Linked DNA regions of Macaca mulatta. The protein of the gene in region 1 interacts with the protein of each later gene in a pairwise test. Links are inferred from orthologs where the notes say so. Each region holds a gene or a part of one and is shown in the gene's direction. Other genes may lie near its edges.

Evidence for each region.
Region 2: the proteins of XIAP (region 1) and CASP10 interact in binary tests that used the Homo sapiens proteins (3 or more experiments, as listed by UniProt). The two-hybrid records come from large-scale screens. The link is inferred for Macaca mulatta from reciprocal best matches to the Homo sapiens genes XIAP and CASP10.
Region 3: the proteins of XIAP (region 1) and PPIH interact in binary tests that used the Homo sapiens proteins (3 or more experiments, as listed by UniProt). The two-hybrid records come from large-scale screens. The link is inferred for Macaca mulatta from reciprocal best matches to the Homo sapiens genes XIAP and PPIH.
Region 4: the proteins of XIAP (region 1) and SSX2IP interact in binary tests that used the Homo sapiens proteins (3 or more experiments, as listed by UniProt). The two-hybrid records come from large-scale screens. The link is inferred for Macaca mulatta from reciprocal best matches to the Homo sapiens genes XIAP and SSX2IP.
Region 5: the proteins of XIAP (region 1) and RFC5 interact in binary tests that used the Homo sapiens proteins (3 or more experiments, as listed by UniProt). The link is inferred for Macaca mulatta from reciprocal best matches to the Homo sapiens genes XIAP and RFC5.
Region 6: the proteins of XIAP (region 1) and NEK6 interact in binary tests that used the Homo sapiens proteins (3 or more experiments, as listed by UniProt). The two-hybrid records come from large-scale screens. The link is inferred for Macaca mulatta from reciprocal best matches to the Homo sapiens genes XIAP and NEK6.
Region 7: the proteins of XIAP (region 1) and ERCC3 interact in binary tests that used the Homo sapiens proteins (3 or more experiments, as listed by UniProt). The two-hybrid records come from large-scale screens. The link is inferred for Macaca mulatta from reciprocal best matches to the Homo sapiens genes XIAP and ERCC3.

What each region holds. Positions count from the first base shown.
Region 1 is NC_133426.1:130,314,008-130,318,341, forward strand, and holds the start of XIAP (E3 ubiquitin-protein ligase XIAP), read left to right. Parts: upstream 1-1,222; 5' UTR 1,223-1,434; coding exon 1,435-1,699; intron 1,700-4,334.
Region 2 is NC_133417.1:106,285,205-106,289,477, forward strand, and holds the start of CASP10 (caspase-10), read left to right. Parts: upstream 1-1,147; 5' UTR 1,148-1,314; intron 1,315-3,380; 5' UTR 3,381-3,387; coding exon 3,388-3,722; intron 3,723-4,273. UniProt on the Homo sapiens protein: Involved in the activation cascade of caspases responsible for apoptosis execution. Recruited to both Fas- and TNFR-1 receptors in a FADD dependent manner. May participate in the granzyme B apoptotic pathways.
Region 3 is NC_133406.1:198,100,096-198,104,493, reverse strand, and holds the start of PPIH (peptidyl-prolyl cis-trans isomerase H), read left to right. Parts: upstream 1-1,489; 5' UTR 1,490-1,530; coding exon 1,531-1,596; intron 1,597-1,928; coding exon 1,929-1,993; intron 1,994-2,311; coding exon 2,312-2,335; exon of another isoform or gene 2,336-2,428; coding exon of another isoform or gene 2,429-2,454; intron 2,455-2,604; coding exon 2,605-2,649; intron 2,650-3,964; coding exon 3,965-4,007; intron 4,008-4,398. UniProt on the Homo sapiens protein: PPIase that catalyzes the cis-trans isomerization of proline imidic peptide bonds in oligopeptides and may therefore assist protein folding. Participates in pre-mRNA splicing.
Region 4 is NC_133406.1:155,895,666-155,900,066, forward strand, and holds the start of SSX2IP (afadin- and alpha-actinin-binding protein), read left to right. Parts: upstream 1-1,385; 5' UTR 1,386-1,474; coding exon 1,475-1,517; intron 1,518-1,886; coding exon 1,887-2,056; intron 2,057-2,815; coding exon 2,816-3,028; intron 3,029-4,401. UniProt on the Homo sapiens protein: Belongs to an adhesion system, which plays a role in the organization of homotypic, interneuronal and heterotypic cell-cell adherens junctions (AJs).
Region 5 is NC_133416.1:125,289,215-125,293,053, forward strand, and holds part of RFC5 (replication factor C subunit 5), read left to right. Parts: intron 1-377; coding exon 378-514; intron 515-1,658; coding exon 1,659-1,738; intron 1,739-3,044; coding exon 3,045-3,118; intron 3,119-3,839. UniProt on the Homo sapiens protein: Subunit of the replication factor C (RFC) complex which acts during elongation of primed DNA templates by DNA polymerases delta and epsilon, and is necessary for ATP-dependent loading of proliferating cell nuclear antigen (PCNA) onto primed DNA.
Region 6 is NC_133420.1:23,460,148-23,463,986, reverse strand, and holds part of NEK6 (serine/threonine-protein kinase Nek6), read left to right. Parts: intron 1-433; coding exon 434-542; intron 543-1,427; coding exon 1,428-1,535; intron 1,536-3,839. UniProt on the Homo sapiens protein: Protein kinase which plays an important role in mitotic cell cycle progression. Required for chromosome segregation at metaphase-anaphase transition, robust mitotic spindle formation and cytokinesis.
Region 7 is NC_133417.1:9,997,137-10,000,975, forward strand, and holds part of ERCC3 (general transcription and DNA repair factor IIH helicase/translocase subunit XPB), read left to right. Parts: intron 1-942; coding exon 943-992; intron 993-1,418; coding exon 1,419-1,554; intron 1,555-1,740; coding exon 1,741-1,905; intron 1,906-2,346; coding exon 2,347-2,551; intron 2,552-3,839. UniProt on the Homo sapiens protein: ATP-dependent 3'-5' DNA helicase/translocase. Binds dsDNA rather than ssDNA, unzipping it in a translocase rather than classical helicase activity. Component of the general transcription and DNA repair factor IIH (TFIIH) core complex.

The sequences.
Region 1 (4,334 bases):
GAGTGCTTCTAAATAAATATTTACTTTTCAAAAGAGTGAAATCTGAACTATTAGCATGGAAACAACCTCTGGGAAGACAAGATCTCCACTCAAAAGCTTCAAATTGAGATTCTCCTGCTCATGTTGAATGATGGTTTTATCTAATATTTTCTGAAATAGGGTGACTACTTGAACTACACAAAATTGTGAAATGAGAATATCTTTGATTTTATACTTTGTTTTTTCTTTTTTTGAGATGAAGTCTTACTCTGTCACCTAGGCTGGAGTGCAGTGGCACAATCTCGGCTCATTGCAACCTCTGCCTCCCAGGTTCAGGTGATTCTCGTCCCTTGGCCTCCCGAGTAGCTGGGATTACAGGCGTGTGCCACCATGCCTGGCTAATTTTTGCATTTTTTGGTAGAGATGGGGTTTCACCATGTTGGCCAGGCTGGTCTTGAACTCCTGACCTCAAGTGATCCACCCACCTTAGCCTCCCAAAGTGTTGGGATTACAGGCATGAGCCACTGTGCCTGACCACTTACATCTATTTTGATTGACTTGAAATAAAATTTAACACCCCAGGGAAGGCAATTCTCATGTGTTTTGAATTATACTGAGCATTAATTCTTCAGGATAATTATAGACTTGGAAATGTTTAATCCAGTCTCCTAGTCCATGCTGAAGCTCCTTTAAGTGATAGGAGGAACTCATAATCTACAAGGCAACCCAATCCATTTGTTGCTATATCAATTGTTATAAAGCTCATCCTTGGGTTAAAATTGGCTGTTTATAGTTGTATTTAATGACCTTAATTCTGCCCTCAAGCTATACAAAATGTGGATCTCTTTTCTACATGATAACCTTTTAGATATCAGTCTATCCTCCCTACCCTTCCCCTCACAATTTTTCCACCCTTTGCGATAAATATCCTTTGCTATTCTAACTATTTCTCATATGATATCATTTTTATCATCCCAATTGCTCCCTAAGGACATTAAACTTTGTTAATGTCCTTTCCAAAATGTATTTGGAACTGGAAATAATATCCCTTGGTAGCTGAATTGGATCTGGATGTTGCACATCTGGACACTAATGCAGCCTGAAGTTGCTGTAAGTTTTTTAGTCAACTTGTAATGTTGGCTCATGATGAATTTGTAATTAATTAAAATTCCAAGGTTTAATCTGGAGGATTGCCTTTATGTGATTTTTTCTTAAACCAAGTCTCCATTTTCTTTTAGTTATGCAACAGATTTTTTTTTTTTTTTTTTTTTTTGAGACGCTCGCTCTGTCACCCAGGCTGGGGTGCAGTGGCACGATCTCAGCTCACTGCAACCTCCACCTCCTGGGTTCAAGCAATTCTCCTGCCTCAGCCTCCCGAGTAGCTGCGATTACAGGAGTCTGCCACCACGCCTGGCTAATTTTCTTTGTTTCTTTTTTTTTTTTTTTAAAGTAGAGATGGGGTTTCTCCATGTTGGTCAGGCTGGTCTTGAACTTCTGACCTCAGGTGACCCACCCTCCTTGGCCTCACAAAGTCCCGGGATTATAGGCATGAGCCATTGCACCCGGCCCTTTTTTTTTTCTTTCTTTCTTTTTTTGAGATGGAGCCTCACTCTGTTGCCCAGGATGGAGTGCAGTGACATGATCTTGGCTCACTGCAACCTCCGCTGCCCGGGTTCAAGGGATTCTTCTGTCTCAGCCTCCCGAGTAGCTGGGATTACAGGTACCTGCCACCACGCCTGGCTAATTTTTGTATTTTTAGTAGAGATAGGGGTTTCACCATGTTGGCCAGGCTGGTCTCAAACTCCTGACCTCAAGTTATCCGGCTGCCTTGGCCTCCCAAAGTGCTGAGATTATAGGCATGAGTCACTGCACCCGGCCTATGCACCAGATATTTTTAAAAAACCAGATGTAAGACTTTACACTTACCCCTATTAAATGTTATCTCATTAGCCTATCAGGTAGCTTTGGTTTTTTACTTTTATTTTATTTATTTATTTATTTTTTTGAGACAAGAGTTTCGCTCTTGTTGCCCAGGCTGGAATGCAATGGTGCGATCTCCGCTCACTGCAACCTCCGCCTCCTGGGTTCAAGTGATTCTCCTGCCTCAGCCTCCCAAGTAGCTGGGATTACAGGCATGTGCCACCACGCCTGGCTAATTTTGTGTTTTTTAGTAGAGACGGTTTCACCATGTTGGTCTAGCTGGTCTCGAACTCCCGACCTCAGGTGATTTGCCCACCTTGGCTTCCCAAAGTGCTGGGATTACAGGCGTGAGCCACTATGACCGACTGGTTTTTTTCTTAAGACTAGTCAAGTGCAGAGTGAGAAGAGGGAAAAGAGTAGAACAAGGGGTTTGATCAGCCTTGGTTTCTTTGAATCTTGATTTTTGTCATTCGGTTTATTATGCTGATTCAACAGAGGGCCCTGAAGCTAATGTTGGAATGTTTTCAGACATCTAGGAAATGATAATTCATCAAAAGTCATGGAGACTATTCCAAAAGTTTTATGCAGATATAACTCAGCTGTTGAGGTATGAGTTAATACCACTATAAGTTGACATGGCCAGGAAAGACAAGTCCATTGCCAACTTGCTTTGTGTTGAACATTACTCCAAAAGAGATTAAATTCTAAGACATATTGTGTCAACATAAAGGCAAAAGAGCTGGCTAATTCTTCTCAAGAAATCAATGGCTCGACCTTTTGGCTCATGCCTGTAATCCCAGCATTTTGGGAGGCCGAGGTGGGGGATCACCTGAGGTCGGGAGTTCAAGACCAACCTGACCAACCTGGAGAAACCCCGTCTCTGCTAAAAAATACAAAATTAGCTGGGCATGGTGGTGCATGTCTGTAATCCCAGCTACTTGAGAGGTTGAGGCAGGAGAATCGCTTGAACCCAGGAGGCAGAGGTTGCAGTGAGCCAAGATCACGCCATTGCACTCCAGCCGGGGCAACAAGAGCAAAACTCCATCTCAAAAAAAAAAAAAAAATCAATTAATGCACATATAATATAGAGACAGAGTTCTTGTTACCATTATTTTGCCTTTGACAAGTTTATATTGAGCACATTATCAGGCAATGTGGGAGATTCTGGAGAACCAGGTTTGCCTCATAGCTAGGGTTACCATATGCTCTAGTTTGCCTGGGGCAACCCTGATTTATGCCTGTTGTCCCAGTGTGATTATTGCTAGTGTGATTTTTCACTTTGAGAAGTGTCCAGGTTTGGAAGATAAATTATCTTGCTATCCTTCTCATAACCTAATGGGTTCTCTTTAGTATTTTATCTGGGTTAAAATTACACAGCTGTAATTTGGCAGCTCTAATAAGACTGCAACAATACTTATCTTCCATTTGAACAGATTGTTACTTGACCAAGGGGAAGTTTTGTTTTTTTTTTTTTTTTTTTGAGGCGGAGTCTCGCTCTGCCGCCCAGGATGGAGTGCAGTGTTGCGATCTCGGCTCACTGCAAGCTCGGCCTCCTGGGTTCACGCCATTCTCCTGCCTCAGCCTCCCCAGCAGCTGGGACTACAGGCGCCCACAACCATGCCCGGCTAATTTTTTGTATTTTTAGGTGAGACGGGGTTTCACCCTGTTAGCCAGGATGGTCTCAATCTCCTGACCTCGTGATCCGCCCGCCTCGGCCTCCCAAAGTGCTGGGATTACAGGCATGAGCCACTGCGCCTGGCTACCAAGGGCAGTTAATAGCAAAAGTAACTGCAGGGCACATGTATGTCATGGGCAAAAAAAAAAAAAAAAAAAGCAATTAAGGTTTGCAGGTACTTAGAGTTTCTCCTGAGCCACTCTCTAGAGGGCAGTATTACATATATATCTGTAATTATCCAGTTACAACAAAAAAGGGGATCTGGTTCATGCATGAAAATCAGAAATATTTCATACTCTTAAAGAACACATTGGAACCAATATTATGATTAAAACATATTTTGCTAAGCAAAGAAATATTAAAATTAATTCATTAACATTCTGAACATTTTTTAATTTGTAAAAACTGAACTTTGATGCCTTGAATATATAATGATTCATTATAACAATTACGTACAGACTTTAATAATCTGCATATTTTATGCTTCTTTCATGTTTTTCCTAATTAATGATTTGACATGGTTAATAATTATAATATATTCTGCATCACAGTTTACATATTTATGTAAAATAAGCATTTAAAAATTATTAGTTTTATGCTGCCTGCTTAAATATTACTTTCCTCAAAAAGAGAAAACAAAAATGCTAGATTTTACTTTATGACTTGAATGATGTAATGTTAAACCCTAGTATTTAGAATGTTTCTTAGCAGTTGTGTAGTTATTTTTATGTCATAAGTGATAATTTGTTAGCTCCTATAA
Region 2 (4,273 bases), on another chromosome or scaffold:
TTTGGCTCTTCTAGCCACTCACTGTGTGACATTGGGCAAATTACTTAACCTTTCTGTGCCTTAGTTTTCACATGTTAAAGCAGCGGTCATAGTAACAGAATTTATCTTAGAGTGTTGTTGGGATGGTGAAATGAGTAAATATTTGTAAATGCCCTGTACCTGACACACGGTAGTTGCAATATTAGTGTGCAGTATTGTTTTTATTATTAGCAATAATGTCTTCAAAGTCTCACTTTCCTGCTGGTTTGAATGTGCTGTGAGAACACATACTGTCAGTTTTGTCTGCCACAAATTGGTTGAGTCTCTTGCAGATACCTCTAAATGGGCTTGTAATTCACCATCCCCACTTTTCTTTCTTTTTCCTTTCTTTTTCTTTTTATTTCTTAATTTCTCCCATAAAGTCTGAAAGTGAATCTCCACTTTTCTTTTATCTCTTAAAAATTCTATTTGTGGGCCGGGCACGGTGGCTCCACGCCTGTAATCCCAGCACTTTGGGAAGCCGAGGCAGGTGGATCACAAGGTCAGGAGTTTGAGACCAGCCTGGTCAACACAGTGAAACCCCATCTCTACTAAAAATACAAAAAATTAGCCAGGCGTGGTGGCACATGCCTGAAATCCCAGCTACTCAGGAGGCTGAGGCAGGAGAATCACTTGAACCCGGGAGGCAGAGGTTGCAGAGAGTGGAGATGGCTCCATTGCACTCCAGCCTGGGCGACAGAGCAAGACTCCATCTCAAAAAAAAAAAAAAAAAAAAAAAAAGTAATTTGTTTATTTGCATGTGGACATAAGAAAGGGTTAACACGGCCGACAACTATTTCATGAGCTTTTTGGCTTTATTTGAAAAGTGAAGTGTGTTTGGGGAAGGAGACGGTTAGGAAAATAGATGCTCCCGTGTTTGACTTACCAAGGAAACGGAGATCAGAGGAAAGCCTGGAGCACTTCCTGGCTTCCACGGGTTCCTTTCTAGGAAGCTTTTGCTTTACCTGGGGAAACCCCAAGCTCTACAGTGAGAAAGTTGTAAATTAGCCTTTAGGAGACGCTGTTTGTCAAAGTTATCTTAACCCTGGAAAAGGGGAGGGAAAAAGGCAGATAAGCAATGATGACATCAGCAGGAAATTAATATCAGGCTACCCAGTCCTGAAGATTCAGTTTTCACTTAACGATCAGCAAATCTTGAAGTCTCTTCCCAAGCAAATGGGAGCTTCCTTGGACCTTGGAGCACACAGAGGATTATACTTTCTTTAAAACTTTGTTTTCAGGCAATTTCCCTGAGAATCGTTTACCTCCAGAGGATTGGTGGAGCTTGATCTGAAGGTATGTAATTAACGACCCTTCTTACCCCAGAGTCTCATGCTTGGATCTTTTCCTTTGCTTCATGGCTTCATGTTGCAGAAACTTGCAAAAACTTGTCAGCAATGGCACTATTTTTTCTTAGATTTCTTTGTCATGCCTGGGAAAACAAAAGTTAAAAAATCCGGAAGCCTCCAACATAGCCTTTTACTGGGGCAGAAATATGTTAGCTCACAGAGACAAAGTTGGGTAGACTCACTAAAACTAAAGATCGGAATTGTCAAGAAACCACAAGGCAAATGCAAGATGCGGTAGAATAGAAAGGTGTCTCCAATAAACCACTCATTTGACCTCAGGGCTAGTAGCAGGGAAGACCCCCTGGATTATCACAATTAAAAATGACATTTTTTGTGTTTTTTTTTGTTTCTTTTAACACCAAAAGTAATGTGTGTGTTCACATATGCATAAAATTTGAGAAATTCAGTTGGAAGCCCAGAAGGAAATATGTATTATCTATAGTTATGTCACCTCGATATAACGACTCTTTGTTATGGAGGTTTTGATTTTTGCTATGTTTTCCTTCCTTCCTTCCTTCCTTCCTTCCTTCTTTTATTTATTTATTTATTTATTTATTTATTTATTTATTTATTTAAGATGGAGTCTCGTTCTTTCACCTTCCAGTACTCAGGCTGGAGTGCAGTGGCGCAATCTTGGCTTACTGCAACTTCCGCCTCCCAGGTTCAAGCCATCCTCCCATCTCAGCTTCTGGTGTAGTTGGGACCATAAGCGTGCACCACCATTAGCCTGGCTAATTTTTGTATTTTTTGTAGAGATGGGGTTTTACCATGCCCAGTCTGGTCCCGAACTCCTGGCCTCAAGTGATCCACCCACCTTGGCTTCCCAAAGTGCTGGGATTATATAGTCGTGAACCACGGCACCCCACCTGTTCCTTCCTTTATAAAGTATTTTCTTATTTCTAAAAATAGCCAAGTTCTGCATAATAACTATATACCTCAAATGCTTATAGAATAAATAATATTACAATGAAAATTTTATCACTGCATTGCTCCTCTGATTATGATGAAATTTAGTATAGAGAATAGCGTAGTTTATAAACTGGTCAGATGGAAACATTGACTCGTGTAATTTGTATTTTTTTAGTGAAAACAAGTTTATTAGAGAAGCAAAGAAACAAAAGAATGGCTACTCCATAGACAGAGCAGCCACCTCATGTAATTTGTAACTTCCTACACTGATTTGAGCAACTCTTGTCTAAAGCCACCCTTTCCTGCTAAGGTCTAGGATATTTTATTTATTTTTTTTCTTTTTGAAACAGGGTCTCACTCTGTCACCAGGGTGGAGTGCAGTGGCATGATCATGGCTCCCTGCAACCTCTGCCCTCCAGCCTCAAATGATCCTTCCACTTCGGCCTCCTGAGTAGTTGGAACCACAGACACGTACCACCATGCCCTGATAATTTTTTGTATTTTTAGTAGAGACCAGGTCTCGCCATGTTGCTCAGGCTTGAGGTCTAGGATTACGCCTTCCCTTTCTGTAAGATAAAGGCCTGCCCTCTTACAGGTAGCAGTCTGAAGTAAAGATGTAACACACATACTTCATGGTACCTCGCTATCTTTGGGTTGATAGATCATAAGGATAACGCTGCCTCCCCCAGATTGCTTTGTGTCTAAAACTTAAAGCATAGATCCAAGTGCTATTTCTGCCACTTGGTGGAAATGAATGTAAGGGCTCCAATCAGGTTACCAGGCTTGAGGGAAATTGTGCTGTGTCCCTCCATCTTAACTTTCTCCCTCTGGGAACATTTTGATTTGGGGAAAAATCAAGGTGATTTGAGTTCCAATATAAGCACCCTCCAAGCTTCCTAAAAAGTAACTTGCCAGTGTTGGGGGAAAAGTTTTCTGGGCTGTTGGTTTTTGAAGTAGCCTCGCAGTAATTTTTATTTGTCAGCACTTCCAGGAAAGTCTAATGCCCGGAACGGAGGAGGCTGTGGTGAGGGGAGGGCCTGGGAAGTCAGGGGGCCATATGTCCTCACTCTCTAATGCCCTGCCCCACCTCTCTGTCCCTTTCAGGCTGGCCATGAAATCTCAAGGTTCCAGTTCAGATAAAAACTGTAAAGTGAGCTTTCGTAAGAAGCTTCTGATTATTGATTCAGACTTGGGGGTCGAAGATGTGGAGCGCCTCAAGTTTCTCTGCATAGGATTGGTTCCCAACAAGAAGCTGGAGAAATCCAGCTCGGCCTCAGATGTTTTTGAACATCTCTTGGCAGAGGATCTGCTGAGTGAGGGAGACTCTTTCTTCCTGGCGGAACTCCTATATATCATAGGGCAGAAGAAGCTGCTGCAGTACCTCAACTATACCGAAGAGAAAGTGGAGCAATTGCTACCTATCCAAGGAAAGGTCTCTCTATTTAGGTGAGGATGGGTCTATGGTGGAGATGGGAGGATCTCCCATCTAGTGTTCGGTCTGGCCGTTGGGCTTTGAAAGGAAGCTGCAGTTAAGATCTTTTGGTTATCTACCTCCTTGGATGATAAACCGGGAGATTCTAAACCTCCTTCTCAGCCTCTGATGCTAATGAGCTGAGAGTTGAGAGGTCAGCAAAACTTCAAGACCAAACTCTGGGCCTAGAGGTGGCTTCCCTTTGTTTTACTTCTCACTGGCAGTGAAGCCCACCTCAGTGTGGCAGAGCCTGCGTTTTCCCTGGTTACCAGCCACCACACGTGCAGATCTTCTCCCTCCTGGGATCCACTAGTCTGTCTATGTTTTTCCTGGGGTCTTGAGAAGAGAGTAATGCATACTTGGAGCAAAATAAGCAAGATGAAAAAAGAGATGAGTTTCTGGGGTAGAGAGGGATGTCATTTATGCCATGTCTAGCATGTCTAGTTATAGAAATTTCTATATTTTTGGGTGGAAATCCAGAGAGGTAAAAACAGGCATTTTGCCCAAAGAGGTAAAATTTAGGCAT
Region 3 (4,398 bases), on another chromosome or scaffold:
AATTTTAAATATTTATTCTAAAACAGTTGGTATAAAATTATACTGAAGCATGACTGCTGCTGTTCCTTTTCTCCCTCTTCCCCTTTCTTCTTTTTCATTTGGAGGAGACCAAGAGGAGAGGATCAGTAACCAGGAATAAAAATGACCCTTTAAATTGAGACACACTGGATTTTTATATGTAATTCTTGCTTCCTCCGACGACAGAGCTAGAAAAGATGATCAAAGGACCTAGGAAATAATAACTATTATATTAAATGCATGCTGTTATAGCTAATGAGTCTTGCCCAAGTTCCCCTTCTTTCACTAAATTCATTGAATCTATTATATTTACCTACTATGTGCTATTCAGTAGGAGACATTGCAGCTACAGCTGCGAACAGGACTGAGAGAGTCTCTACTTTCATGGAGTTTATATGCTATTAGGGAGGAAGATGTATGTGTGTGTGGCAGGAAATGAGGTGCAGACACATACCATACAAATGTGAAATGGGGGGTGGCATGAAGAAAACAAACCAGTGATCTGAGTGACCAAGGGCTACTTTAGATTAGGTCTAATGTTGCCTCTGAGGAGGTAACATCTGGGGTGAGCCCTGAACTACAAGGAGCATTACTTCCCACACACATAGCCCAACCAAACCCCACCATCACCCCGCCAACCCACATTAAGATCTGGAAGGAATATTTCAGACAGAAGAAACAGCTATTACAAGGCCTTAAAGAAAGGAGGGATCTCAGTGACCTGGAGGAGCAGACAGGTCAGAGCACAGTAACTAAGGGCAAGTGGTACAAGATGAGGTCAGGTAGGTAATAGCCAGATTAATGCACTGGAGGGCTTCCTATGTACAGAATTGGATTTTATTCTAAATATAGGAAGCCAGGAGTTATTTTAAAAATAAATAGGAATCACAAGAGGTATTTTAAAAATAAAAAATAAAAAACTCTAGTTACTCTGTGGGAAACGAATTGGAAATGACCAAACTGGGAGCTTGTGGCAGAACGGAAACATAATCTATTGTCCTGACTTAGAGGAAGGGACAAATATTTACTTAGCAAGCCTTTACGTGCCAAGCTGTTCTAAACGCTGAGGATGAACAAACCAGAGATCCTGCCTTCACGGTGTTCACAGACTAGCGGGCAGAAGACAGACACAGCACGTGTGGCGGTGTAGAGGGCTTGGTTGCAAGAGCCGATAAGGAGGACCCTGGCGACTGCCTAGTCCAAAAGCCCTAGCTAGAGCAAGATCAACTTGTACTGCCCTTAGTACAGCCACGTGAGTGGGGTGACCATCGACCTTAACCAAAAAGATGTCAAGGCTTTCCTCCTCCTCACTCCCGCGTCCCCCGTCTCAGGGAGAGTCTCCCAGCTAGACCCCAGCAGCCTCAGCACACACGGCACGGGGCGACAGCTTCCGGGGGCGGGGCCCGGTCTCTCTCGGCGTCCACCGCGCCTGCTCCCCGGACGAAACCCGCGGACAGGGCTTTAGGTTCGCCGGAATCCCACGCTCCCGACTTCTGCTTCCGGGTCGGAGCCATGGCGGTGGCAAATTCAAGTCCTGTTAACCCCGTGGTGTTCTTTGATGTCAGCATTGGCGGTCAGGTGAGATCCAGGACGCTACCCACACCTGCGCCGAAGGGAAACTGCTCGGGGCTAGCTAGGCAGGCAGAACTCACCCAGAGAGAGCGGACTCGGGAAGCCAGCCAGAAAGCGAAATTGCACCCGAACCTACCGACCTGCAGGGCGGGGAGAAATGAGGAGAAGTCTCCCCAATCCTAGCGCCCCGCTTCTGGAGGAACTGGGCGGTTAGACCAGAGAGGCGGAGGTGGGTGATACCGAGCGGCAGGGTGGTGGGTCAGCCCATCCTGCCCCCAGCTCCGTGAAGCCCTCATGGTCTTGGACTGGGCCTTCTGACAGTCTCCCGCTGATTGCAGGAAGTTGGCCGCATGAAGATCGAGCTCTTTGCAGACGTTGTGCCTAAGACGGCCGAGAACTTTAGGTAAGGACGTGCTCCAGTTCCGCTGGATTAGCTGAGGCAGAAGTCGGGCTCTAGTCAGCCGCCTGAATAGCCTGTCTACCTCTGTCCGTCCGCTCACTGCTCTTGAGACCTGATTCCTCCGTGCATTGCTCTGTCTGGTTGCCGTTTGGATTGTTCCCGTGTTAATTTACGTTGTTAGTCTGTACGTCTCCGTGTTTGGACGTCTGGCTGGCCGATTGGTGGACTTGCTGGCTCCATTGTTTATTCTTTCCCGTCTTTAGAGGCGGTCACGACTGTGATGTCATAGTGATTGAATTGTTCACTTTTTGTCCCTTTCAGGCAGTTCTGCACCGGAGAATTCAGGTCAGTTTCAGATGTGTTTGACTTCTTTGCCTGCTCCAGAAGGGTGTTCTGGGGCTGCGGTGAGGGTATCGGTGAACCAGCTGCTGGCCTTGAATGATTGCTGGTGACAGTGATAGAAGGTAATGCCCCAAGGGTCTGTCCCTAGTTTATTTGCCTTCTTTATGTCTGTCAACCATCTTTAGGAGAGTCCTTTTGGCTCCAGTGCATGGTAAACTGGAAAGGCCTTGTGCTACCTGCTATCACTCCAAGTCTCTTTCTTTTTGTTATAGAAAAGATGGGGTTCCAATAGGATACAAAGGAAGCACCTTCCACAGGTAAGGCTTTTGGCAAGCCATCCTAGAGTCTTTCAGAAATATTTCCTGGGGGATTAGGCTCTTTAGAGGAAAATAAAACCAGAGGTAATTCTTACATTTCTTAAGAAGAAATGTTTTTGTGGACTCAATAACTGAAGATTTATTAAATATTCTAACTCTACTTATACTCTCCCACTTCTTATGTCTTTAAAACAGAAACTACTCATCTTTACAATATCCTGTCTTTTTCATGCACTTGTTTGTGCAAATGCAGATTTTTAAAGAAGTACACTTGTAATCCTAAAGTGCATATAATATATCCTGCTGGTTGCTATTTATAACTAATTCCTAAAATGATCATATATGATTGTCCAAGGATAATCATATTTCCTGGGGAGTGGAGTATGGCAACACTTAGTCTCATTTCAATATAGAATCTTTCTCATGGCCTCACTGTGGTTAGTAACAATGTTAGCACATAATTATATCACAGCTTTAGAACTGTGGGTCTCTAATCCCCAGTAAGACTCCTGTGAAGTGGTATGTGTGATCTGCATTCTACAGAGGAGGAAACTGAGGATAACAAAGGTTAAGGACCCTCCCTAGGGGTAATAGCTAACAATTGTTAAGCCCTTACATGTGTAGCAGTACCTTTCACATAAATTCTCTGTAGTTCTTTGCCCCAAATTTACATCAAATCCTTGATCTGCCTTTTGCTTTGGCAAGTAATGTGGTCATTCTTCCTGCAGGCTTTCAGCCCCTTCTTCTTGTTACTGTTCAGGTACCAGATCATGCACTTGATCAACTCTAACATGCCCTAATTTATAACTAAAATCCTTTTTTATGGTTAATTATCCTTTCAGCTTAATCATTCCAGGAAAAGAATAATCTTCTTTTTTTGTTGTTTTGGTTTTTGGTTTTTGGTTTTTTTTTGAGACAGAGTCCCGCTCTGTCACCCAGGCTAGAGTGCAGTGGCATGATCTTGGCTCACTGCAACCTCCGCCTTCTGGGTTCAAGCAATTCTTTTGCCTCAGCCTCCCAAGTAGCCGGGAATACAGGCATGTGCCACCACGACTGGCTAATTTTTGTATTTTTAGTAGAGATGGGGTTTTGCCATGTTGGCCAGGCTGGTCTCAAACTCCTGGCCTCATGTGATCTGCCTGCCTCGGCCTCCCAAACTGCTGGGATTACAGGCGTGAGTCACCGCACCCAGCTAAGAATGGTGATTTTATAATAGCCAAAGTTATAGTGTATTTTGAAATCAATGTTAATCTAATACAATAATAACAAAGTCTCCATAAAATCTTCTCTCAGTATTCTTTGCTCTCTGTTTCAGGGTCATAAAGGATTTCATGATTCAGGGTGGAGATTTTGTTAATGTAAGTACTATTCCTTTTCTATCAAAGACCTGTAGTTTTAGTTTTTATTATCGTTGCAATTGCTGTTTTTACTACAGAGACCCAGTCTTAAGGCTTGAGAACAATAGCCAGGTTTGATGGGGGTGTTGGAGAGAATGGTGATGGGGAAGTTCTTGGAAGTGGCTAGGTACAACTGACTGTAGATAACAGACTTTAGCACTTTGATTGAGGCATTAACTTCCATGGTCCAAATCTCAGCCTTTTTGAGCCAGAAATTGGACTTTTTAAGAATACCCTGTAGATGATCTATGATAGGTTCACACTAATTGGTCATATGAAACTTAGTCAGAAATCAGCTGTGGTTTGTTTTTGTTTTTGTTTTTTTCTGAATGGAGGTAAATCTCCTTCTAGT
Region 4 (4,401 bases), on another chromosome or scaffold:
CTCTTGATCCACAGTCCAGATTTGGCCTAAAGACACATTTTACTTGGCTTATTGCATAGTGCTGTTGTTTGAGGTATAACTAACTTACAGTCAAGTGCACAGATCTTAAAAAGTGTACAACTCGATGAACTGAACGTGTGTATACCGGTGTAACCACATCTCAGATCAAGATGTAGAAAGTCTTGGCACCCCAGAAGCCTCACTCATTTCCCTCTCTAGGCACTCTTCTTTCCCACAGGATAACTTAATACATAGAGGTTTTTTTAAAATTAGCTACTAACATTTTAAAATTGGGAGACTTCACATAAAAATCCGGAGTTCCAGTATCTCATAAAAACATCTAAGATCAACACAACTGCTTTCCCCTTGACCACAATTTATTGTAGCCAAGAAGCAGCTGTCCACAGTATTGACATGTGTTCCCCAGGTTGCATACAGTCTTCACCCTTCCTCCTCTTCCCTCTGACCTTGAAATCAATTGCCAGTTGCCACTTACAGTTTCGTTTGAATTGCTTTTCTTATGATGGAGAAATATTTATCTCTTCCATTGTCTCTATAAAAAAGTGAAAACATAAATGGAAACAGAAAGGGTGTCTTATACTTAGTCCATACCATTTGTAGTTTTGGCTGTTTGTTTGTTAGCCATCTAATTCTACACAACAGTTACGTTTAAATGCTGTATAAATATATTGGTTTTTTTTAGCCATTCTATGGAAACATAAGCACGTGTGATTTTTGTTTTTTTGATATTGTGAATAACAAATTTTAGATTAATCTTTGTACACATCATTTTATTAGGATAATATTTTAGAAGTAGATTTTCTGGATCAAAATATATTTTCATTTTTAAGACTTGATACATATTGTCAGCTTTCTTGGTAGTAGTATAAATCGCTATAATCTGGAGAGAGTATATGGAAGTGTTCATTTCTCTACATCTTTGCCAACACTGGGAATTGTAATTTACAAGTTTTGCCAATATAGTTGGTAAAAACAACAAAAAAATGGAAATGCTGGCCAAGAAGTTTTTCATCTTCTCATCTACATAAGTAATTGTATTTTATTTTAAAGGATATAATATGGAAATATTACTTAGTACAATACTATACCTTAGATGTATGTTGAGTCAAATCATGTACCATGTATCTTGTGTATAAAGTAATATGAATACCTCAGTAGAACTTGGGAAGCCTTTAACCTTGATCCTTACATATTATTTATATTTCTGTGTATATACACACACACCATGTTCTGTCTCTGTGCATGGGAATAAATATTGCAAAATCCTTCGTTTTGAAGCACATACAACTAATTCTTAAGCATTGGGTTTATATTGGCTTTCATATTTTAAATTAGATGCTATTATTCTATAATCTGCTTTTTAAGGAGATGCCTACATAGAAGAGTGACAGCAGCTGGACTGAATGTTTAACTGCTGAACTAGTTCCTCAGGTTCCTGGCTCTAGAGATTGCTATGGGAGATTGGATGACTGTTACAGATCGAGGTCTGTCTTCAGGTAACTAAGTCTAAATAATTGTAAACTAAAGCAGAAACTGTAAAGGTGAATTTTTCAATGAAAATATAAAATAATTACTGCAGATGTTGAAGATGTGACTAAAGAGAGATAAATGGTTATAAAATACTTATTTTCATGCCTGCTGAGAACACCACTTTATTTGTATCTTTTTGGAAAAAAAAATATATAGTTTTCATAAAAAAGAGGCTTTGCCCTAATTTGAAAATACCTTAAAATATATATGTATATAGTATAATTATATCTATGTTTATGTGTATATATGTAATTCAAGTCTTTAGTAATGGAGATTATGCTAGCTTTACATACGTTTTTCTAAATTATTTATATAAGTGCCTTTTATTCTTTCAGAAAGCAAAACTATCTCTCAGTATACCTCAGAAATAAAGATGTCTCCATCAAGTTTATACTCACAGCAAGTGCTATGTTCTTCAATACCTTTATCAAAAAATGTGCACAGTTTTTTCAGTGCCTTCTGCACAGAGGATAATATTGAACAGAGTATTTCATATCTTGATCAGGTAACATGTTTTTGTAAAAAACAGTAGCATAAATCATGTTATATAATAGAATGTATCAAAGTTACGAGAAAAACATTTGTCAAACTCAAGTTTTTTGTTTATATAGTGCCCCTGAGACTTAGATTTTCAGAGAACCTTGGTGATTATCTCATCTAGAGATAGCAAGCAAGTCTAACTTTTTTATCTGGAGCAGGCTGGCCTCCTCATTGTCCCAGGGGCTCCTCCACTGAGAGTCTAGCCATCACTTTATGGATGCAGAAACCCAAGTGCCTTGCTCCATGTCACAGATTTATAGCAGAGGCTAAAAGAGCCCCGTCCTTTTATCTCTTTGTCCTTTGGGATATTGACCATTTTCTTAACTATTTCAAGATAGTTTTCTATTTTTCTCAGAAAAGATTTCTATCTTTTGTTTTTTTTAAACTAAGTTGTCCAGTAACCAACCGTTTAAAATAATTCACATATATTTTTAATTTTTAATTGACAAAACTTATATATTTGTCATGTACAACATGATGTTTCAGAATACACATTGTGAAATGGCGCAGTGCGCATACCTCAGATACTTATATCATTTTTTTTGTGGTAGAATTTACTCTCTCAGCAATTTCGGGAATATAGTACGTAGTTATTAGCTGAGGTCACCGTGTCATGCAATAGATCTATTGAACTTACTCTTCCTATCTAACTGAAAGTTAGATATCCTCTGACCTGTATCTCCTCAACTGTAACCAACTTTAAGAAAACATTTTCTCCTACCAGGAATTGACTACTTTTGGTTTTCCTTCATTATATGAAGAATCCAAAGGTAAAGAGACAAAGAGAGAGTTAAATATAGTGGCTGTTTTAAATTGTATGAATGAGCTGCTTGTGCTTCAGCGGAAGAACCTTCTAGCTCAGGAAAATGTGGAGACACAGAATTTGAAGCTGGGAAGTGATATGGACCATCTACAGAGCTGCTACTCAAAACTTAAGGTAGAAATTGCGTATCTGTATTTTGATGCCATAATTATATAATTGAATACTATAAATTTTTACTGACTTTATTAAATATTTCAGGGTTTTCTTAAGCTTTAGGGTTTTCTTTTTAAACAGGTAAATAAAGGTCAACTTATAATTTGCACACATCTGCTTCCTAATACCTACAGTATATTGATGGCATTAATTTTTTGAGCTGTTTAATGACTTGCTGAATCTGTAAAAAGTTAGGAAATATTCTGTGCTCTGGGAAAATAAAATAACGATTCTGTCATCCAATCTTGGTTAAGAAAGTATATGCTTCATTTAAAAGTCTTATTGTAAGAGGCTGCACAAGTTAATTCCAAGAAAAATATTATTGAGGCATCTATGATGCCACATGAGCTAAGGCTCAATAGTTAAAGCAGACTAGATAACTTCTCTTAGAAGCCTTGGGTCTCTGGAAAAGACTATAGAAAAATCCTTAGTAAACTTGCTTTTCTCTTAAAAAAGAAAGGAAGTATTTTTCACAGGACCATTGAACCTACTAACTTTAAAATGTAGAATATTTGATACTGGTTTCTGTTTTGATTTCTTTCTTTTTCTTCCTTTTATGTTTTCATTTGTATTTTTAAAATGTTTATCCAGGGAGAAGGGAACAACAAGGTGTTCAAAATCATGGTGTGGTCGGGACTTATAGTTGTATATTATTAAGGATGTAATATAAATCAAGTCAAATTTTTTCATAAATATACTATTCTATATTGGGTTTTGTTATTTGTGAAAATCAAAGCCTTTGCATTTGTATACTGTCAGATGATCAGCTTCCTTTTAGTTTTTCATCTGTTGGTCCATGCCCCTTTACTTTTCCTTGTTTTTCTTTGTGTACATCCTCCCCCACTGCACGCTGTCTAAGAAAACAATCAAAAAACCCACTCAGGATCTTGAATCTTTGAGCTCTGTGAGGGAATAATAGGACCTCTCTATAGAATATTTAAAAATCCCGTAGCAGGAAATGTGCCGTGATGATGTGGCATAGAGTTGGCCTACATGGGAACACTAGAAACACTTGGGGATTGGTTTAGAGACATCTTCGCTCTTTACGAGCACCTGTGCCTACCAGCCTGTCATTGATAATGCTGTCTTATGTTGTCTTCTTGGTTCATACACAATGATAAAAGTGTGTTTTCTCGCAGTAATGTTTTTAGGCTTTCGTACATCCTATATTCCTAAGGGGTAGAGATGATCCAGCTATGTCTCTTGGGGAAACTGTGGTAGATTGCAAAGGGTAGTTGGTGACCCCCAGGCTTGTGAAAAGGTTGTGAGTTATGGATGCTACTTTAATCCAGATCAGAGAGACCTATGGAAGGTCTTATTAAGGATTGGGCTGA
Region 5 (3,839 bases), on another chromosome or scaffold:
GGCTTTAAGATCATTCATTCATCTTCTTCAGATAGCTGCAGTCTAGTGGGTAAGTCACGAACATGAGCATAAAATTGCAACTCAGTGGAGTAAAAATAGCATTACAGCGAATGATTTAAGTTTACAGATGTTGTCAGCACCCAGAAAGGTGCCTGTAACACAGTAGGCCCTCAATAAATACTTGCTGGCTGGCTGCACTATTGAGTGAATTCCAGTTGCCCCAGGAACGCAGAGACAAGGCCCCTACATCAAGTTGCATCTGCCTCTGATTTGGACATTGCATTGGGTTGAAGAGCTTTCAGCCCAACTCAGGAGCCCAGGGTGAATGAGGCGGCTCCCAAAGACTGATGGTGCCCTTCTTCCTTCCTGATCCTCAGTTCAGAAGTTTATCAGTGAAGACCGACTGCCACACTTGCTTCTCTATGGTCCCCCAGGGACAGGCAAGACATCTACCATCCTAGCCTGTGCGAAACAGCTGTATAAAGACAAAGAATTTGGCTCCATGGTCTTGGAGGTAAATACAATTGTTCTTACTCCACAAATAACTTAGGACTCCAGTCTCTGAATTTCAGTTCTGCTGGCTTTATTTTACTTTAAAAGTAAGTTGCCCCATGGACAGTTAGGAAAGAAGTAAATTCGAAATAAGATATTTTAATTCCCTTTTTCCTATAATGGTCATTTTAGTCTGGATTAGTGTTGGTCAGCTAGAGGGCAGTTGTAGGGCTAGGCACCTTTTTCTTTGCTGTTGCCAACTTCTACCCAAACCCTCCTTTATGGTTACTTGGTTGCTGCCTGTCTGCCATGGCCCCTCCAGATCAATTCTCCACGTCTCTCCACCCTATTCCTGCCTGGAAGGCTGAGCTCTACTGACTATAAGCTTACTTACCCTCTGGCTCCTGGTTGGGTTTGGCCAATAGAGGCCTTGGCAGGGGTAGGGGAAGGAAGTGAGTGATGCCGGGACCTTCCCTGAGGGCTGACAGGCTGGCAGCATGGCCCATCTGTAGGGTACATCTCACAGGTGGTACCTTTCCTGCAGCCCTCTCCAGGTGCCTACAGCCACTCCCTTCACTAACCCCTTCAGGCTTAAGGGTCACGGGTATTGCATAGCCCCATGGTTTTCCTATTATCGCACCTTTAAAAAGATCTCCTTGTTTAATTCTCTTCAAATTGCTGCGTTTGAGTATGCCATCTGTATATTGCTGCAACCTTGACTAACATACTTAGATTCAAAAATGTGAATATTGTCTATTGCAAGAAAAGTTTAATTTACCTTTTAGACGCAGGTCTCAGAACTTTGCTGCTACTAATGTCCTTATGTCAGTTTATTAAGAACTTGGTAACCTTGGGATTGTGGTAGCTGAAATTTGTATCATTCTGCTCATACCGGAGGTGCTATTCAGTGTAACCATACCAATTAATTATTTCTCCAGCTTATGTCAGTCATTGTCCTCAAACGGTGGGGGTAATATAGCCATCTTTATTGATTTAGTGAGTTTTGTGTAAAACTGATTTTTTATTTTGTGATGATCTCTTAGCCATCATTAGACATAGAAAGCTAACCTGCTGAGCTGGACTGATGAGGAGATACATTAAAACCAAGAACTCACAGATAGCATAGCAACATGCTTTTTGTTTTGACTTCTGTCTTCCACGTTTAGCTGAACGCTTCAGATGACCGAGGAATAGACATCGTTCGAGGACCAATCCTGAGCTTTGCTAGCACAAGGACAATATTTAAGTAAGAATTATTTGTGTAATTTCGCTCCCTTGATTTTGATTAGTAAGATGACATGGCTTAATTTTTTAATCCTCTCCTTAGCCAGTTTATATGGGTTGAAAAAAAATACTGACTTTGTCCAAAGCAACCATGGAAAAGAGATAAAGGAGAGGATGGTAGTAAGAAGTATTATAATGCAACTGCTAAAATAAAATGTTGTCTACACTTGTATTAGCAAGTTCTTTTTTTTTTTTTCCCCTTTTTTTTTGGAGACAGGATCGCCCTCTATGGTACAGGCTGGAGTGCAATAGCATGATCTCGGCTCACTGCAACCTCCACCTCCTGGGTTCAAGCGATCCTCTAGCCTCAACCTCCTGAGTAGCTGGGACTACAGTCGTGAGCCATCACGCCCAACTAATTTTTGTATTTTTTAGTAGACATGGGGTTTTGCCATGTTGCGTTGGCTGGTCTCGAACTCCTGAGCTCAAGCAATTTGCCTGCTGCAGCCTCCCTGAGTGCTGGGATTACAGACGTGAGCCCAGCCTGTATTACCAAGTTCTTTAGGGAAGCATTCTTCATTTTTAGTTCCTGAGAACTGGTTAGATTACCCTAAGCCTGGATGAGCTAGTTTGAATTTTAAAATAAATTGAGATCAGGAAAGACAACTAGGATGGTGGCTAAAAAAAAAAAAGAAAAGAAAGAAAAAGGGTGAGGGCCAGGAACAGTGGCTCACACCTGTAATCCTAGCACTTTGGGAGGTCTAGGCAGGTGGATCACCTGAGGTCAAGAGTTCAAGACTAGTGTGGCCAACATAGTGAAACCTCGTCTCTACTAAAAATACAGAAATTATCTGAGCATGGTGGTGGGCGCCCGTAATCCCAGCCACGCGGGAGGCTGAGGCAGGAGAATTGCTTGAACCTGGGAGGCAGAGGTTGCAGTGAGCCGAGATTGCGGCACTACACTCCAACCTGGGCAACAGAGCAAAAACTTCGTCTCAAAAAAAGCGAAAGGGTGAGAGACTCTGGTGTGAGTGAGGGAGATGGGGAAAGCAGTAGCATGGTAGGGTGGTATGTGGAGGAAAGTGAAGATGCCAGAGGACACAGCGCATAGAAGTAGAGAAGTCAGTCCTCCATTCCCACCAAGTGTTGAAGGAGTGATGGGGTATTTCCTCTCTGAGTGACCAAAGATGTCTGTCTTGGCCAAAGTTCTAGAAGAAATAGCCTTTCCGAGACAGGACCCGATGGCACACATGGGAAGATGTAGGTTTGAGCCCCGATGTTGAGGTGAGATTGAAGAAATCTTTAGACAGCACCATTTGTTTTTCTAGGAAAGGCTTTAAGCTAGTGATCTTGGATGAAGCAGACGCCATGACTCAGGACGCCCAGAATGCCTTGAGAAGAGGTAAGCAGAGGCACTGTGGAGTGTGTGGGCTGGCGCGCGCACTAGAAGGAGAATTAGGAACTTCGTGTTTGTTGCTGTTATTGTTTTTTTTGGGGGGGGAGGGGATGGTTTTGAGTCAGTCTTGCTCTGTCGCCAAGGCTGGAGTACAGTGGCGCGATCTCGGCTCACTGCAGCCTCTGCCTCCTGGGTTCAAGCGACTCTCCGACCTCAGCCTCTCAAGTAACTGGGATTATAGGCATGCACCACCACAGCCGGCTGATTTTTATATTTTTAGGAGAGATGGGATTTCACCATGTTGGCCAGGCTGGTCTCGAACTCCTGACCTTGGGTGATCCGCCCACCTCGGCCTCCCAAAGTGCTGGGATTACAGGAGAATTAGGAACTTTGGACATGAGATATGGCATGACTTGTTTTCAGTTTTCATCTTCTGGCCCAGAGAAATCTCTATGCCTTTCTGTGTGTCTCCCATCTGATGATACAGGCAAGATACCTCTGCAGTGGGACCTTCCCCTTCAGCAGCCTAAGGACTAAGCCCTGCGGGGACTTTTAAGTCTGGCCAGTCACTGGTGTTCAACCTCCTTTGACACTGGGTTCAATTTCAGGGTTGAGAATTCATATCTTTCCATGGGATGGGGTGTGGAAAATCTTTCATCCCTAAACTATCGGATAGTCCTTTCTGCTAATAGTACCCTTTCCTTTCTGCTAATGGTACCCTTTGAAC
Region 6 (3,839 bases), on another chromosome or scaffold:
GCCACCCTCCTGGGCCAGGTTGGGGCTGGGGACAGGGAGAGTCCACACCATTTCAGTCCTGCAAGGAACACCCTGTCTGGGATGTGTCCAAGAGGTTCTGGAAAAATGTAGTTGAGGGCCACTTTCAGCATATTTGATCTGGGTGTCCATGCAGCAAAGCCATTCGGACACACCAGGCCTGTCTAGCCCTCACGGAGCTTTCGGGGTGGGGACAGGGTGGCCGCGGAGTGCCATTCAGGTAGAAGGAGAGGCGTGGACACATCACTCTTGGTTCTGGGCTTATTGTTGTTTCTCAACTGCCCAATCCCCACTCCCTCCCCCGTGCCAGGCACCAGTTGCCCACTGGGGAAAAGACAGAGACAGTGCCCTGTGGTCACCCACCTCCAAGCCCGCTCACCCGGGCCTATCCCTCTGCCTGTCTCCCCCGCTGCAGTACTTTAAGAAGCAGAAGCGGCTCATCCCGGAGAGGACAGTGTGGAAGTACTTCGTGCAGCTGTGCAGCGCCGTGGAGCACATGCATTCACGCCGGGTGATGCACCGAGGTACGCGCCACCCGCCAGGAGCCGCCCGGAGCCCAAGTGCCCCTTGAGCCCCAGGAAGACGCTTCCCATGGCTCCTGCAGGGTCCTCAGGGGCAGCCCCTTGAGGAAGTTGGACCGCTCTGTATTCCCTAGGCAGGGAGGCTGTCCAGCAACCACACACACACGCACCCGGGTCAGGGACCTAGGTGGAAAGTGACGTGAGCCCCAGCACCACTTCCAGTTCCCCACAGCAGCCTGGGAGGGAGGTGAGGGGAAGCCCCGCACACAGGGGCCTCTCATGGGGGCTTTGCCGTCCCAGCGGGCTGGGCTGAGAACGGGAGGCACCTGAGAGGGATGTTACCATAGCTGACATCACTCCGAGTTGTGAGAAAGCAGCCTGGTGGGTGCCTGGCAGGGCGCGGGGTCCTTTATGTAGGCTGCTTCCTGAACACCTCCGTTCCTTAACTCTACCTGTATATCTCGGTGTCTGCTGTATTTGAGGTCCCGCCCTCGCTGAGGGCTACGGCACAGGGTGCCCCACTGAGCGCCTCCTTCATTCGTTACACAGATTTTCCCTGAGGGCCTCCTGTGTGCGAGGCACTGGTCTAAGCCTGGAGGATACGGCTCTAGAGCCGGAAACAGGAGCGCAGAAACCCCTGCTCTCTTAACCCTCACAGTAGCCCTGTGAAGTTGGTGAAGGGAGACCCATTTTACAGGTGAAGAAACTGAGGCTCAGAAATGGTCAATTTCCCGAGGTCCCACAGCCAGAGCCAGGACAGGGCCTTGCCCTGAGGGAGCAGGACCTGGGCTAGGCCTCACCTCACCCGGAGCTCCCCCTTCGTCTCGTCCTGTCCCACCTACCCCGAGCCTCCTACCTCACACCAACCTCCTTCTGCTCACCCTGCAGACATCAAGCCTGCCAACGTGTTCATCACAGCCACAGGCGTCGTGAAGCTCGGTGACCTTGGTCTGGGCCGCTTCTTCAGCTCTGAGACCACTGCAGCCCACTCCCTAGGTAAGGGGGACCTGTCTGTGCCCCAGCATCCCCCAGCGGTCCTGGTGACCATGCAGGGAGATGCAAACATTCTCCCCACGTGTCTTTGGTCAGTTAGGGCAGGAGGATGCCTTTTTTAAGCCCCAGAGTTTTCTCATCTGTTCAGAACAGTGACCCAGAAGGGAGTCAGCCATGGCCAGAGGAGTCCAGCTGGGGCTTCCCGCACCCTCTGGTCACCTCCCGGCCCTTGCAGGAGAAGCTGACTGAGCCGGTTGCTTGGAGCTGGGGGTGTGTCTGTGGCACAGGGCAGCATCTTCCCACTGCTGTGAGTGTCTCGTTCACAGGCAGCACCCGGGGTCCGTCCCTCCTGGGGGCTGGACATTTGTGCTGTTCCTCGTTTTTGGCCTTTAAACCGGCGGTTTTGAGGCTGTGGGTGCCAGGTGCCTGCCAGGGAGGAGGTGACATTGTAGCTGGACCATAAAGGGTGACCAGGTGCTGCTGGGACAGGGAAGGCGGGAGCAGTGTTCCAGGAAAGAGTGGGTGAGCCTCGGCGTGCAGCTGAGCCTGGCTTTGCCACAGACCAGGGTCCTTGCAGGAGCGGTGAGAAAGGCGGGCAGGGCTTTGAACTCTGAGCTCTGTGGGCTGGACACCACCCTAGGGGTCGGGGGTTGCTGAAGGGCTGAACTCGGGAGGACACTTGGTCAGATGTGTGTTTTGGGGACACGTGAAGCAATGGCAAGCTTTAGAATCCATACACTGGGTATGTAACCAAATGTGAGACTTAGAATGCTGGACAATGGAGGATTTTTCATTTAGCGAGAACACAGGAACCAAGAAAGCCCCGCATTCCCCCGCAGTGGGACACAGGAGCAGGGTCTCCGGTGCGTTGCTACAAGGCTGTCTGGGTTTCACCTTGCCCATCTGTGGGCACATTTCCCAGAGGCCCATGGAGTGGGCGAGGGCCCCTGCTTTCTCGGGGCTAGCTCCTGGCTCTTTGAGGTGCGTTTGCAGAGGAAGGTGCCCCCAGGCCCACCCACTGTGTGCTGCGCCCACCAGCATCTGCTTCCCCAGGAGGGAGCTGGGCCCCAGGAGCTGCCCGCCGCCTCCTTGAACACCGCCCCATTCCAGCTCATTTCCACCCCACTCCATGGCTCAAGCCAGGACGTCTCCCATCCCCAGACCCCTGAGTGCCTGCAGCAAGTGGGGTGTGAGAGAGAGCAGCATTGTCTGGGCGGAGGCACTTTCTGAAAGTCACAGTGTCCTGTGGAAAGTATCACTGTTCACACAGATTCCAGGGAGACTCTCAGCACGTTGCACACAATTAGGAGAAACGTACGAGCCTAGAGACTAGTGGCTCCCAGCAGCTGCTGGAGCCAGCGGGGGTAGCGGGGAGGGGGTTGTTTTGAAACTCTCGTCCCCACCTGGCCAGGCCTCAGGAGCTCTTTTAGCTCCAAAGGGAAGATGTGTCTGGACCCACCCCCCGGGGAGTATGGGACACTGCACTCATGCCCCTGACAGCCCCAAGTATCCAGCGATCCTTCCCTTTAGCAGAAGAAGAATCTGAAATCCAGGTGCTCGAGAGATTTTCCTGAGGTCACATGGCAGCAGGCCTCTCCTTCCAGAACCCACGCTGCTTCCAGGAAACGAGGGCCGGGGCCTCCGTGGATACTGTCGGAGCCCCCCTTTGGGGACCCAGGCCACCGACTCTCTGTTGCTGGAAGGAAGCCTCGTCTTTCCCTGTTCCCTCAAACATTGACTTCCCTTGTGAAAAACCAAGTGTTTCGGTCACTTTGGGACTATTTACCTATGTGGTTGAAGGGCTTCGAAAAGACCAGGAAATTCAAGGGAAGTTGTCAAAGAGAAGAGGTCAAACCGCCGCCTCCTGTCCCCTGTCAGTCAGCACCGAGCCTTTCTCTGTCCCACTGCAGAAAAGAGACTGCGGCGCTCCGTCAGAGCCGGTTAGGATCGCATCATTAGGAATGGGCAGAGATGCGTCTCATCCGACAGTATGATTTTATTGACTTGGACTGGTGCACTTATTATATTAATGAGAAGGAATTGGAACTTGGGAGAAGGCCGCCCTCATAAGCTGGGCTCTTCCCGAGCCCTCCGAGCGCCGACCAGGCCATGTGATGGGTGGAAGGAGCCCTCCTGGGGCCTGTCCCCGCTCCGGGCTGTGTGCCCAGCATCCAGGAGAGGTGGCCAGTGAGCTGAGGCCTGCACGGAGCTGAGCAAGTCCATCAGCAGGACGCGCTCCCAGAACCAAGGGCCTGCACCCACCAGCTTCCATAATGGTGACAGTGCCGAGCCAAAGCCCCTTCCACC
Region 7 (3,839 bases), on another chromosome or scaffold:
ACCAACATTGTGGCTATGCTCAGTCTTGGCTGCGAATTGCCTGCAGGGATGTAGGTGTTGGCACACTGCACTGGTGGATCAGGGACAACAGCGGGAACAGGCAGCCACTTAAAGTCTGGCAAATTTTTTTTTCTTTTTTTTTGAGACGGAGTCTTGCTCTGTCGCCCAGGCTGGATAGCAGTGGCACAATCTTGGCTCACTGCAACCTCTGCCTCCTGGGCTCAGGCGATTCTCCTGCCTCAGCCTCCCAAGTAGCTGGGATTACAGGCGCCCGCCACTACACCCAGCTAATTTTTATATTTTTGGTAGAGACAGGGTTTCACCATGTTGGCCAGGCTGGTCTCGAACTCCTGACCTCAGGTGATCCACCTGCCTCGGCCTCCCAAAGTGCTGGGATTACAGGCGTGAGCCACTATGCCTGGACTCAGTGGCAAATTTTTATTGTTGCCACACAGCCTCTACTGTATTCCTTCCTAAAGGTGGTTGGGAACCTGGGAGGATTTAAGCTGTATTCTCTGCCATCAAGATGCTTACATTCTATTTGGGGAAATAGGAGCATTGGTGAAGAGGCTTTGCATTTTGTTTAAGCAGCAATTACTGTGCACATACTCTGTGCAAAGAGTTGTTGTAATACTGGTATGGTCTTCAGGCTAGGGTGGGGGCTGTGGGAATAGAGAGGAAAGGCAGAATGCAAGGAGATTTTAAGCAGCGTTTTATAACTGAATGGATGTGCATCAGAATTAGCCAGGCAAGAGGAAGATTTTGTTCTCAGAAAGCAGAGGCCAATGGGAAAAGCTCAGTTTAGGCAGATCTGAACCCGTTAGGATTGTCCTAAAGTAAAATGAATTTTTCACTTGGTTGGTTGGGGTAAGATGTGACCAGTAGTGAATGTGTTCTGAGTTAGCTGCACATTTACCTATTGGGTGTTATCTCTATTTGCAGTTGTGTACTGTCAGCTATGGAAAAGTCAAGCTGGTCTTGAAGCACAACAGGTAAGAGATTCCGTGACAGGCCTGTCCCGAGTCATGGTCACTCTCTGCGCACCAGCAGGAATAAAGGGATATGGGAAGGACCTGATGTTTATGCTGTCTGCTCTGTGCTAATACCACACTCCTCTGAAGCACAGATAAGAGAAGAGGAACAAGAGGTGTGGCCCAGACTGGAAACTCGTCCACTGGCCACTGTATTTCCTCTAGCAATGGAGCTGGGCTCAGGCCCCCGCTTACTTGACCTCAAAGTGGGGCTTTGCCCACAACCCTCATATGTTAAATCATGGCCAGCAGCTCATAGTACAGATTGGGCGAAGGGTTGCGGGGAGAGTCTTGAGGCTTGTATTTCCAGACCGTCTGATTGAATGAGCAGTGGAATGAGGAGGTACCTGCTGGTCAGCAGACTGCTTCTTCCTCTCCTGCTTGCAGATACTTCGTTGAAAGCTCCCACCCTGATGTAATCCAGCATCTTCTCCAGGACCCGGTGATCCGAGAATGCCGCTTAAGGAACTCTGAAGGGGAGGCCACTGAGCTCATCACAGAGACTTTCACAAGCAAATCTGCCGTACGTGGACTCCTGGGCTACCCTTGGGTGGGGGCAGGCATTTAGGGTTTCAGTTCTCAGGTGACTTTTACCCAGCATTTACAACCTGGCAGCCCTGCTGGTTTCTACCCTTTACAACTTCACCCTTTGTTTGATACCAGCAGAATTAAATGATGTGTGCACATTCAGCACCTACCTCTCTCACAGATTTCTAAGACTGCTGAAGGCAGTGGTGGGCCCTCCACTTCCCGAGTGACAGATCCACAGGGTAAATCTGACATCCCCATGGACCTGTTTGACTTCTATGAGCAAATGGACAAGGATGAGGAAGAAGAAGAAGAGACACAGACGGTATCTTTTGAAGTCAAGCAGGTTAGTGTGAATGGACCTTCCTCCTGGTTCCCTCACTGAGTTGCTGTTAGAAGTTAGTCCAGCCCTGTGTCAACTCTGCCTGTAGTCTGTGTGAAAGAAAGGAATCCCTGTTGGTCCCTGCATTGCTTTCTACTTTTCATTATCTGTGGGCCATGGCATCATTCCTCTTGATGGATTTAAAGTCCCAGTGTCCTCTTTTTCAGGCTGGTAGGCTGGTCTTCACAAGTTGCTGAGGAGATGTGAGAAACAGTGCCTGAAAGTGTTATTAGTTTGGGTTGCTTTTCTGTGCTTTATCCCAGTTGTTAACTGAGCAAGATCTAAAACTGTAGAAGTTTAGACAGAATGCCACTTGTTTGACCATTAGACCTGTTACAAGATGTGATGTTTTTGAGCACACTTTGGAGTTAAGATTTTAAAACCTTTTTTGTGCCTACTTTCCAGGAAATGATTGAGGAACTCCAGAAACGTTGCATCCACCTGGAGTACCCTCTCTTGGCAGAATACGACTTCCGGAATGATTCTGTCAACCCTGATATCAACATTGACCTAAAGCCCACAGCTGTCCTCAGACCCTATCAGGAGAAGAGCTTGAGAAAGATGTTTGGAAACGGGCGTGCACGTTCGGGGGTCATTGTTCTTCCCTGCGGTAGGTGGTTCTGGAGTTAAGAAGGTGGCCAGGCTGCTGTGTCTGGATCTGCCAGCTGCCTCTTGCTTTCTCTCTGCGCATGTCACTAAATCACACTTTGCTAAAAAGCCAAGATCAGGTGACTCCCTGATTCATGACTTGACAAGTATTCGAGTGCTTGCTGTGCATGGGCCTTGGCCTGGACACTGGGAGTATTATGGTGGCTAGAACAACACTTCTGATCTCATGGAGCTCATTCTTCTGGGGAAGATACAGATGGTAAGCAGATGTGTACAATCTTGGGTGGTGCTAGAGGCAGTGAAGAAAAATGAGAGCAGATAAGGGGTGAGATTGTAATAATGGCAAGGGGCTGTTGCACATAGTGGCGTTAGGTTCTTGTTCTTGAATCAGCCTTAGGGGTTGTGTATTTGGAGACTCCCTAGCACAGAAACGTTGGTGTTCCTGGATGGCTAGGATGGTGTGCAAGTCCAGGGAAAGGCAGGAGTGGCCCCCTGGGCACCTGTTTGACCACTTATCCTCAGTAATGTCAGATCCTAGCCTAGCTTCTTGGCCAGAGGCCACAGCAGACTCACCTTGGGACCCCACTGAGGACTTACAGAGGCAAGGTCTTCAGGGAAGGGGAGGTTCTTTTTTTTCCAAAACTCCAAGGGTTTTTTGATGGTGTTTTTCTTTTTTATTTCACTTTGCAATTTTTTTTATTTGCATTTACTCCTGGTAACTCAACAGAATGTATTTTTATAATAAAGGAAGGATCTCTGTTTAATGGAAAAGCTTGATTTTTCTCTTGATCTTTAAATGGTGGATGGTGGTAAACTCAGAAGCTCCTGGAATTTCATCTTCTCTGTACACACGTAGCGCATCCCTGAAGTCTCAGCCCCGTTCGCTGTGTAATAATAATAGTGCTCTTTTGCCAAGTCCCTCCTTCTGTGGGCCAGGCATGCTGGGCCCCAGCAGTGTCACTGTCCCGTGACTGTGGGCAAGGCAAAGTACTCCTCTGCTTTAGTTTTTCAGTCTGTCTTTTTTCTTTTTGAGATAGAGTCTTGCTCTGTCACCCAGGCTGGAGTGCAGTGGCGCCATCTCGGCTCACTACAACCTCTGCCTACTGGGTTCAAGCTATTTTCCTGCTTCAGCCTCCCAAGTAACCGGGATTATAGGCGCCCGCCACCATGCCTGGCTAATTTTTTGTATCTTTAGTAAAGATAGGGTTTCACCATGTTGGCCAGGCTGGTCTTGAATTCCTGACCTCAAGTGACCCACCCACCTCAGCCTCCCAAAGTGCTGGGATTAC